2 linked regions of the Canis lupus familiaris genome follow. The protein of the gene in region 2 interacts with the protein of the main gene of each other region in a biochemical or structural test. Links are inferred from orthologs where the notes say so. Each region holds a gene or a part of one and is shown on either strand. Other genes may lie near its edges.

Region 1 (5,437 bases), on a different chromosome or scaffold from region 2:
CCTGGCCATGGGTTTGGCAGAGGTTTCCTCTGCAGAGCAGGCTCCTGCCACTTCATTGCTATAGGAACTGTACGCCTCACTCCACGTTAGGGTTTTTGGAGATGTGGGAGGAAAGTCATGTTGCTTTGTATGATGGAAATCCTGCAATGAGCCAGAAGTAGGAGACTCACGAAGCACATCAGAGCCCCTCGTAATCCAGAGAAAGGAGCATCCCTCCACCCCCCGCCCAAAACCTACCACAATAGTTGTTACCTTCCCAGCTAACTCGGGCTGACCAGACCTCTAATATGCACCCGATTCCCATCCTAGACAAGGAAGCCCCTCTAGAACAGAGACTAAGAGACAGTGTCCCCAATTCCCCTCTCTCTTCTCAGCACCTTGCAGGATGTCTGGGCCAAGGTAAAGATTTGCTGAGAGAAAGAAAACAGGCTAACGGTAATGAAACAGCAGGACTCAGAACGTCAACACACACTCTCATACAGTGATTCTGTGCATTTGAGTCAACGCAGAAGAAACCACCGCTGGGCCCGGAAGGGATCGCTGAGACTTTCTAGTCTAACCACCTCCTTCAGCCAGGGGTCAGGGGTCTCCTATGCCCATTCAGGCTCTGTCCTGACAAGGGGCAGGTGTGACCTCGGAGAGATAGGAACTGATTATGTTTTCAGTCTGCTGGCTTCTCTCTCTTTTTTTTTTTCACGTGGAGTTTAGACAACAATCATTTCTGTTTATCTCACAACTTCATCCTTGACTTCTGTGGGTTTAGATGGAGTTGAGACTGCATCATCTACAATAGAAAACTTTCTTTCAGGAATTCTCCCCCTCCTTTTTAAAATATTTATTATTTATTTATTTATTTATTTATTTATTTATTTATTTATTTATTATTGAGAGACACAGAAAGAGGCAGAGACACAGGCAGGGGGAAAAGCAGGTGCCCTGTGGGGAGCCCGATGCAGGACTCGATTCCAGGACACTGGGATCACGACCTGAGCTGAAAGCAAATGCTCAACCTCTGAGCCACCCACGTGCCCCTTTTCTCGGGAATTTTTTAAAGCTCTGAGAGCCCGTTTAGACACATCCCAGATCAAATTGTGGAGAAGAAGGTGCCTATGTGGCTCCCGGAAATATCCCATGCCTGGGTATGGAACCTACTCATGCTATTTCTCTGGTTCTTTCTCTCTGTGGGTGAGATTGAGGGTAACTGGGTAGAGGGCAGCCCCTAACTCCACAGCATCTTAGTGTCCTGGATGTCACTTTTGGAGATCACAGACCCACATCAGAACCTCCAAGGTGTGGGGCTCTCAAAGAGAGGAGGAGCTTTGTCAGGGCCACACTTGGAGTTCCCGGCAGAGCTGGGACAAAGAACTAAATCTCCCAACTTTAAGTCCAGGCTCGATTTTCGAGCCACTCCATGGCTCAACCTCTGCCCAAACTGAAGACAGGGATTTTATTCCTGGGAAGCTCTGATATAGGCCAGTGCTAAGACTTTGAGCATGGGCTTACAAGGAAGTGACATTTGTAGGGCCTGATTGGGACAATTCATAGCTAGGTGCTCCCCACACAGAGGCAGGTGGTAAAGGGAGAGATAAAAATCACTCTGGGATCAGAAGAATCTGAAGCAGCCTGGATACTGACATGGCCTTCCCTCCCCAGGCCTAGAACTCCTGTGCACTTTGGAAAGACAAGAATGGCAATAGAGAGACCCACCAAGCCCCATTAGCACCCCTCCTGTCTGATACAACCCTTTAGGGGCTTTGATGAATGGAGAGACCAGATCTTTTGGAAAGGCACCCACAGAGCCTCCAGAATGCCCCACTCCACCCAGATCCCTAGTCCCCCAAGGCACCAACCCCTCACCTGTTGATGGAACTGACGCTGGGCACCGTGTCATTGTCACACACACGTTCCGCCAGCAGCCGGTCCCTGATCTCCCAGGCAAACATGGTGGGATTTTGGCGTTTATACTCAGCGATTTTTTCCACCACTTTGGGCGTGGCGACCTTTGGTTTGGATCCTCCAATTACCCCAGGCTTGATGCTCCCCGTCTCATAATACCTAGGACCCAAGGAGAAAGGAGCTTAGCCAAGAGGAACAAGCAAAATGGACATTTGCAACAAAATAGTTACTCTGTCCGGAAAACATCCAGATCTGTGCTGTCCAATTCAGCATCCACTAGCCATATGGGGCTTCTGAACATTTGAAATATGGCTCATTTGTTGTTGTTGATTTTTTTAAAGATTTTATTTATTTATTCATGAGAGACACAGAGAGAGAGGCAGAGACACAGGCAGAGGGAGAAGCAGGCTCCATGCAGAGAGCCCGACACGGGACTCGATCCTGTGTCTCCAGGATCACGCCCTGGGCTGAAGTCGGCGCTAAACCGTTGAGCCCCCCAGGCTGCCCAATATGGCTTATTTGAATTGAGGTGTGCTATAAGTGTAAAATACACACCAGACTGTCAAAACTTAGTAGAAAAACAGAACATAAAATATCTCATTAATAATTCTTATATTGGTTACATGCTGATGCAATCACATTTTTCACATACTGGGTTAAATAAAATATGTAAAATTAATTGTACCTGGTTTTTTCCCTTTTTTTAATGTTACCAGGAAATTTTAAATTTCAAATGTGGCTCACGTTGTATTTCTATAGGATAGTGTTGGTCCAGATGCTATGCATTAATTAATTAATTAATCTATCACATTTATCTACCATTTTACAGTTTACAGAAAACTTTCAAGTCAGTCCTTCCCATTTGATCTGCACAACAGTTCTAAAGCACATAGATATTTTGAACAAATGAATGAAAAATGAATGAATGGGTCCCCATCCATAGGCATGAAACAGAGATCCATAGAGGTTAAACAGCCTGTCCAGGGTCACACAAGACCCACTAGCCAAACCAGGATGGAGGCCCAGCCTCCTGAGCTAAAATTTCCCCAGAAAGTTGGCTTGTACCTTTAATTTACCAGCACTCACATCCCCTAGCAAATTCCATCTGCATTCTGTGAAAATGTCCCCTAAAATGCATGCTTTTTTGCCTTAAGATTAATATGACAACCCTGGTATAAAATTAAAAGGAGTGTTGCATTCCAGAATTAACTGGAAATATGTGTTACATATAAGTAAAAACCCAAGCAATCAAAAAAAGCCAACCACAAGTCACTGCAGCTCTTTCAGGGACCTCCCCTGAGGTAAATCGCTGTTTCTAAGGACATTTCCATGCTATCAGCTCTTCCTCGTTAACACAAATAGGATGTCAGGGTTTTACAGTAAAACCGAGACCGGGGAGAAGAGTGCCGTGAAAGATCATTTCAGGGGAAAAAAATTACTTGATTCCTTTTCTGAATCTGAGCCTTTGCTGGATGTCTCTCAACATTTACAGAGGAATTCTTGACTTCTCTTGCAAAGGAGATTATCTTGCTGTTGAGAATTTTTCTAGCAAAGGAGACATTTTAGAAACGACTGGTAATTTTTTTTTAAGTAAACTCTGCACCCAACGTGGGGCCGGAACTCACAGCCCCGAGATCAAGAGTCACACACTCTACCAATTGAGCCAGACAGGCACCCCTATGACTGGTAATTTTTCAACCTAGCAGAGTTTATAATAGGTAAGAGAAAGAGGTGATTCTCCTCTGGGAAGAATGGGGAGTGTCACCCAAGAACAATGACTAGTTACATTTAAAGAGATGCTGAAATTCTCAGTTTGGGCAAATCCAGTTAGGGCAAAGTTAGTGGATAGTCTAGAAACAGATGAAATAATTTGGGAACAGTAATACAGAAGTGGAAATTCTGTTTTTCACTGAGAAGAGACCATAAGGCAAAACCCAACCTATCCTCCTTCTTTCTGTAATTACTGAAACACTATTATTAGTGACAAACAGGCTTTAAGAACTATCCAAGAAATTTTTACTTTGCCAGAAGTTTAGGAAGGTACCCCAATCAAGGCACACAGCAATTTCAGCAGCTTCCAATTTTATGATAAAAAGTCATTTGTTACTATCAACACAGTAACTCCTTATTTTAGGCACAGTGCTCTAAAGTTTACAGAGCTCTTCCTCAAATTATCTGGATCCTCACATCAATCCTAAGGGGCCAGCAGGGTTTTATGGAAGGGGAAGCTGATGATTAGAAGAATAACTGACTTGCCCAACTCCCTTCTGGAAGTTAGAGGAAGTCAGCTCTCAGATCTGATTCGGAATCCAGTGCTCTTCACACTAGGGCAAACTGTGAAAATGAAAACAATAATGATGATGATGACCCCTGGCCACTGTAGAAAGTTTTACCGTTCACCAGGCAGTTCACCTGCATCTTTGCATTCATTCACTCACTCACTCACTAGCCACCGAGGGCCTGTGAGGACGGGCACTGTCTGGGGTGGAGGTTACAGACACACAGACAATCTTGTGCCGAGTACTCAAAACGTAGGAGTGGAATGGGAATGCGGTGTTGGCACAGCAGCTGGGAGAGCATCCCCCACAGCGCCCGCCCCCCTTGTCTGGCGGGCGGTGGCAGCACCCAGGGCTCTCCACCCATCTCACCTGAGCAGCACCAACCACGGCAGGCCCAGGCCGTGGCTTGACAAGGGACCTCTCTGTCTGCCTTTTGACTGACACATCAGCCAGGCCCTTAGAAGGCAACCCTGACACCCCAGGGGAGACCCCATTTGGCAACTGCGTAAAGTGAGGAATCAGACTGAAGAACCGCTCTTTCATCTCAGCAAAATAGCCATGCAGCATTTTGGCTTCCACACAACAGACAGACGGCGGCCGCCAACACACCGTGTAGTTCGGTGCAAAACACCGAGTAAAAGCTGGAGTAAGGAGCTGGGTGTGTCAGTCAGGGTCTCTGACACTAATGAGCTGTGTGACCTTGGCCAAATCACTTAGCCTCTCTGGGCCTCTGATACCCCATTTGTATAAGGGGAGGACGTTTGCCCAGCCTGCCTCCCAGGACGCGGGCAGAGACGCAGAATGGTTAAGGAAAAGCTCTGCAAAACATAAAGAGCACGTGCTGCGGATTAAAATCCTCTGAGTGTTTATTACTGTGTAACATACCACCCAATTCCAAACGGCCTGAACCTCCCAGCCAGGCTCCAGTGAAAGAAGACAAGAGCCAGGCTTTCTGGGTGGATTTAAATGGGCCTCACATGCCACCAGGCTGTGCCTCTCGAGCCCCTCCTGAGCCTCGAGCTCTGTGGACTGAAGCCCACACTCCTGGCAAACCGCCACCTTCCCGAGATGACGGGGTCTCTGCCTGCCCCAGGGACTCTGCCTGCCTTGTCATGCAGCCTCTGAAAACCACGGCCACCACACACAGCACACTCTCTATAATCTGTCACTCGGAGTGTGCCCATCAAATTCTTCGGTGACCAAAAAAAAAAAAAAAAAAGAAAGAAAAAGTCAGTGGATGGAACAGCCCCAGTTCAGAAATT
Region 2 (6,211 bases):
ATGGGGAACCACATATGAAAAGATAGTATTCTCTCCAGTGATCTTTTAAAATACAGAAAGTCACAAAAACATGCAGAATAAAATTGCAAAACATACAATTTTCTTTCTAAAGTGCACAGTATTACGTCATTTCAAACGGTTATAAAAAATAACTTACCTGCTTGTGCATTTCTATATTCAACCCATAGGACATCTCATAATACTGTCAAAGAAGGGAAAGCAATTAATTACGTGCCTTTCATCAGTCTCCCTAGTTTGTTCCAAATGCCCCAAAAGTATGTTTAAAGCAAACATAAAAGCCTCACCTAAAGCAAAATATCCATAATACCTATGCCGCTAAGGAGGAACACTTAGCTTAATAAACCAGCAGCTACCCTAAGACACAGAGTCTAAGAGAATAACTCACAAAACTAAGAAAATCAAGTTCACATGTAGCATTCTTAACATCTCCAGTTGTCTTTATACATCACAAGCAGATGAATCAAAAAGATCTGATGAAAATTTAGTACCATATGGATTCTAATTCCTAGGCACAGTGGACAAGCTTAATGACAAGCATCTTATACAAATACTGATGCTCTGAGAGATCTGTTCAGAAAGGTGGTGCTACTTCAGAGTTCCGTTTCTCATTTTTAGTGTAGCGCTCATGTTCATACATTGAAAGGAAAAAAGTCTTGATAGGAAATGAATGAGTTACTCTGGAGCCTTTATGAACAAGCATAAAAACATGCTTCGTAAGACTTCTGAAAAAGCAGATCTGATTTTTTTTTTTTTTAGGATGTGTAGTGTAACTGTCATTACAGAAATTCTGGCAGAACAAATCAGTTATACAGGAGACCGACAACACTCCTCAAACCAATGTAACACCACAGAAACTGAAAACACACAAAGCACATGCAAATACACACACACACTAGGAACATAAAAAGCAGAAAAATTTGAAACAGTGTCTGGTGTCTTTTGATAGCCATCATTCTCTAAAAGAAATGAAACACTACAATTTTCACTGTATACAGAAAAATTGGTTAAGATTGTTTGGAAAAAGGGCAATGAAACAACAAAGAAAACCACTAACGCAAAAACATTTTGCTTGTGACTAAACAAAACATAAACGAGGTTGGTCTCTTCCCCCCCCCAATCTCTAAAAACAAAGCACAGAGGATTATACCCCACGCAGCTGAACTTTTCGAAAATTCAAATCAAAGCTGGTTGTCAGAGGCAAGTTATAACATCCTAGAATTACGAGGTTGCTAATGATCACATTCCCACAACCTCAACTACACTGGCACTGTGACTGCGATCTATCCTGCAGCCTCCAGCAATCTGAACATATTCCTGCTTTTGGTATCCTAAACTAATAGGCACTTTGAATCTGTGACACAGTTTTCTTACCATGACATAATGCCGCTGCATCTCGGTCTTCTCACTGGCGAGTTTCTCACATTCCAGCTTCAGGCTGTTCAAGACATAATGAAATCTAAGTATAATGCAGACCTTGACTTACATTCTTCAAATGTAAATACACATTCCCTCCCCTAAATCATCACCTACGAAAAGACCAAATCAACTGTCTTAAATAGCACCCTCATTATTGAAGGAGAGGTGGGAGAGAAAGGGGTGATTGGAACCAGCCTGGACTTGCCCTTTCAATGAGGATCAAATGTGGGGTTTTTGTTTAAGGGGAAAAAAAACCTCTAGCCAATTTAATTCTGGACCCACATCCAGAAATGAACATTTGCTAAATTCATTTAATGAAACCAGGGGAAAAAACAAACAAACAAACAAACAACAACAATGTCTACATACCTAAGCACAAATTTAGGTCCCCCAAAATGTGACAATGGAGTTTTTTTTCTTTAACGTTTGGGGAAGACATTAACGAAAATATGAATCAAGCGTGTCTTATGAATGATGTCTTATTTGTTCCCTCCAAAACAGAGGCAAGTTGAATACCACCACCCAGGGGCAAAGTGTGGATCGGGTTCAGTGGCTCGTTTTGGCTCTTGAATTTAAGAAATAAAAATTACACGTCGTTAAAAAGCCAGCAAAGAAAAATATTTCGAAGGCACTCTTAACGATCGCCTCTAAGAAGAAAACATTTTTTTTCCAGCATAAAAGTAATGAAATCTCTCGCTGGCGACTTCCCAGGGCTCTCCGTTCATGGTATTTCAGTGGAATGGCAGAAAAAAAAGTGAGACGGAATCAAGCCCGGAGTAATAAAGAACCAAGGGAAGTCAAAGGGCCCCAGAATCTTCCCAACCTTCCATTCTCCTGGTCCCAATAAATCAATATCGAAAGTTTGGCCTCAGCATTTTCTAAGTCTCCCCAGTTTCGATTGTTCTGCCTCCTTTTTTATTTATTTACAGGAGAAGGGAGGAATGCTTAATTTCTTTACACCTGCCCGAGGAAAAGAGGCCTTGACTTGCCCTTTCTGCCCACAAGTAAAAATAATATCACCTTTGTGGCGGCCTAAAAAACTGGGGGTGGGGGGTGGGGGGGAGGAGACGAGAGCTAAGCAAACAGGAGGATCAGCTAGAGTCAATATCGTTACCTGTGGTACTGAGCCTGTAAAAACTGAAACTCTTCCTTAATCCGATCACAGGACTCGGAAATTGTGAATTTAAAGGGTTGAGCAGGCTGATGCGGTGCCTAAAGAACAACAATAAAATATTTAATTAGCCCACATCGCAGGCGAGGCAGGGAGATGGAGAAAACACACCACGCGGCGCCGGGGGGCGGGGGGGTCACCGCGCAGGCAGGCAAAGAGCGATTAAAACTCAGGTAGCGCCCCCCCCCCCCCCCCCCCGCCTCGCCGCGCAGCCCGGCAGCGGCTGGCCCCGGGCCCCCGCGTCCTGCGGCCCAGCCCGGACCCCGCGGGTTCGAGACCGCGCGCCGCGCCCACTCCCTCCCCACCCGGAATCGAAACTGGCCCGTCGGGGGGACTCGCGCCATGGCGTCCGGCCGCGGTCAGGTCGGGGACGCGCGGCCGCCACCCTGCGAGGCCGGCGGGCGGGCTCGCTCGCGCGTCCCCGGGGCCCGCGGCGCGAGGGGCCGGCGCCCCGCACTCCCGGAGCCGCGGCCGGACCCGCCGCGCCGCCGCCGAGGGCGCCCTCCCCGCCCCGGCGCGGAGTCGCGCCTCCTCCATCGCTCGCCCCCCCGCCCCCCGCCCCCCGCTCGGGGAGTCGCGGCGCGGGGCCGGCGAACGGCTCGGCGCGGCTTCCCGGGGCTTCAAAGACAACAATAAGAAAATGGCTACAACTCAATTGCCTCTCGACGCCCCCCCAGAGTGCCGCCGCGCCGGGTGCGGGGGACAACTCGGCGCGCGGGGGGCGACGCGGGGAGTCCCCGCGCCCGGCGAGCTCGCGCCCCGCCGCCCGCACTCACCGGGTGTCTGGTCTGCGGGTACATCTTGCTCAGGTCGCGAATCATCCAAACCGCTTTAGTTGGCTGCGCTGGGCAGAGGCGCGCGGCTCATTGGCTTTAAGGGCCCCGAGGAGGCGGCGGCGGCGGCGGCGGAGGCGGCGGCGGCGGAGGCGGCCGGCCGGGTCCGAGGGGCGGCTCGGGCGGTCCCGGCCCCCGCCGGGTCTCGCGTGACGCGGGCGGCAGGAACGCGCGGCGGCGGCGGCGGCGGCGGCGGCGGCTGGGTGCGGGCGGCCGGGCCGCTCGGCATTCCTCGCGGGCGTCACTGGCCCGCCGCGGGCATTGTCCGGCGCGCCTCTCCCGCGGCAACGCTCCGCCGTTCGCTCCGCCGAGGCGCGCCCGCCGAGCCCAGCGCCGCCGCCGCCGCCGCCGCCGCCGCCGCGCCGCTCCCCCGGGCCGGGAAAGTGCGAGCTCCGCGCACCAGCGCCCGCCGGCAGCGCCGCCCGCCCGCTCGCTCGTCCCACTCCAAACTTTTTTTTATTTGTCTTTTAATTGGTTGTTATTCCTCCGAATGAATGATCTCTCTCTTCTTTCCTAAAAGCAAACACAAACTCCTTTGGTTCGGAAGAGGTCTCGGCGGTGCTTTTTGGTTTCTCTGGAGATTTTTTCACTTCACAGCAACGATCTTTTAAAAGGCACCTTTTAGCTTCTTTTACCACATCTCATTTCCTTATTTTTCTTCCTTCCTGTTTTCTTGTCTTTTTTTTTTTTAACCCCAAATTGAAGGGGATTATAAAAATAAAAGAGTGAAACGCTTGCGGCTTTTTTTTTTTTAATTCTCTCTCCTTTCAAACTCTGCGAACACCACCTCAAAATAATATACAAGTGTGTGAGAGAGGGGGAAGAAAGCAGCCAACAGCCCAAACACCCGCTCAGAACAGCTCTAACAACACGCTCTGTGTAGGTGACTTCTTTGACCAAATTTAGCAGCAGCTAATCATTAACATTCTGATACATATTCACAACCGTCCGTGGAGGGACCGCGGAGCATCCCGGGAGATGTAGTCCACCCCAAGCGACCGCGGTCCAGGATTCGGCCAGATTGACTACAATCTCCGGCCCGCCACGCGACCGCTCTGGGGCGCTCTCCAAGCGCCCCGCCCACCCCCGCCGCGGGAGGCGTCTCCGGCAGCCAATCAGAGGCGGCTGAACATTAATCGCCGTTCTGTGTTACTGCCCATCATTTCACTGCTGACAAATGGCGAGCCAGGGGGGCGGAGCCGGCCGGGCTGGAGCCCACGTGGGGGCCGGGCGTCGTCCGCGGTTCGGACCAATGAACGGAACGGGATGGGGTTAGCGGAGGCGGAGCGGAGATGGCCCGCCCAAGGCGGAGCTTCGTCTTCGCCGACGTTCCTTAGCGCGAGCGTTCGAACCGGGGAAACATTTGTTCAGCTGTCAATCAAAGTAACGTGGGCCTGGGAGAAGCGGCGGCGGCGGCTGGTGGTGGTGGTGCTGCTGCTGCTGCTGCCGCCGCCGCCGCCACCGCCGCCGCCGCCGCCGCCGCTGCCCTGGCTGCATCCTCAGAACTGGGTGTTGGTGGCGGTCCGTGGTGGCGGCAAAATAAAGAGGGTGGAGGGGGCGGTAAGACTCGACGCTGGTCAGAAGGTCCTCTTCCGAGTCTCGTCTTCCCAGCCGCCCCCCGCTCCAACCCAAACACCCTCAGCCCCTTGCTCCTCGGCCGCGCCAGGAATGCGGACTAATTAGGGTCCAATGTCTCCTTAAAGAGACAAGCTCGGCCTTGTGTAACGCGCCGAAACCCCTGTTGAGACCAGAGAGGGAGGATCACGCCGATCCCACTCCGTTCGGTTCACATCAATTTTACGCGCCGCTGGAGCCGGCATAATTTTCCGTGTGAACGCAGACTCGGGCCCCTGTTCTTGTTTAGAGCGGGAGGCTGAGCTGCGAGACGCTCACCCGGGCAGGGAGCCCGGGGCGCGGGCGGGAGGGCGCCCCTCCGAACCCCGAGGGGGCTGTGATTGCCGTTTAGCCCGGACGCGGGGCCGGGTTCCCCGAGCAGCTGTGCGGGGAAGCACCCCAAGTCGCGCGGCTCGCGGGCCCCGGGGCGGAACCGCCGAGTCCCGAGGTGGGGCTGGAGGCCCGGGGGCAAGGGTCGCCCTCTTCCCAAGGAAACTTTGTGGAGGGGGTGCCCGCACCGCGCCCTAGGGCAGCGTCCACGAGGTACCAGTCGCAGACACGGGACAGGAAGCGCCCACGCGCCCCTGGGATGCTCCTTCCCCCCGGACCAGACGGGAGAAGACTGCCCCTTTTTTCCCTGTTCTTTCAAGTCAAGCCTGAACCGGGCCGGGCCTCGCGGATCACGAGAGAGGGCGGGTCGGCGACGTGGGGATAAGCCCCGGAAGAGTGGGGGGGATGCGGGGGCACAGGCAGGTGGGGGCGCATTTTTAGGGAACCGGCTAAAGAGGCGAGGACCGACTCGGTGGCGAGAAGGGGCGGCCCGAGGCCGACAGCGTCTTCCTCCTTAGTCCTCCTCCAGCTAGCTAGGGGTAGGGTGGGGTAGGGTGGGGTAGCTCCCTGGTTTACGGGGAGACGGTACGCGGCTGGTAGCCTTTCCTAGTGAGTGAGGCTCTAACCTTTGGGGGCGTGGAGGAATTCAGGAAAAGTCCAGGTGAGGGTTGACCAATATAAGGGTCCGTTTTAGATGTTCGTTTCTCGGTGTCGTTTGCCTACTCTAACTTGAGACATTGGCAGAGATGCTTCACCGTGAGTGCAAAACCGATCTTCTTGGTGACATCCCGAGCCTCAGTGGACAAACACGTTCTATGGGCTTCTC

The links.
Region 1: the proteins of TLE4 (region 2) and PAX5 form a complex in vitro, tested with the Homo sapiens proteins (2 studies listed by BioGRID). The link is inferred for Canis lupus familiaris from reciprocal best matches to the Homo sapiens genes TLE4 and PAX5.

What each region holds. Positions count from the first base shown.
Region 1 is NC_049232.1:53,702,531-53,707,967, forward strand, and holds part of PAX5 (paired box protein Pax-5), read right to left. Parts: intron 2,056-5,437; coding exon 1,858-2,055; intron 1-1,857. UniProt on the Homo sapiens protein: Transcription factor that plays an essential role in commitment of lymphoid progenitors to the B-lymphocyte lineage. Fulfills a dual role by repressing B-lineage inappropriate genes and simultaneously activating B-lineage-specific genes.
Region 2 is NC_049222.1:79,913,472-79,919,682, forward strand, and holds the start of TLE4 (transducin-like enhancer protein 4), read right to left. Parts: upstream 3,532-6,211; 5' UTR 3,430-3,531; coding exon 3,385-3,429; intron 2,650-3,384; coding exon 2,552-2,649; intron 1,457-2,551; coding exon 1,393-1,456; intron 203-1,392; coding exon 158-202; intron 1-157. UniProt on the Homo sapiens protein: Transcriptional corepressor that binds to a number of transcription factors. Inhibits the transcriptional activation mediated by PAX5, and by CTNNB1 and TCF family members in Wnt signaling.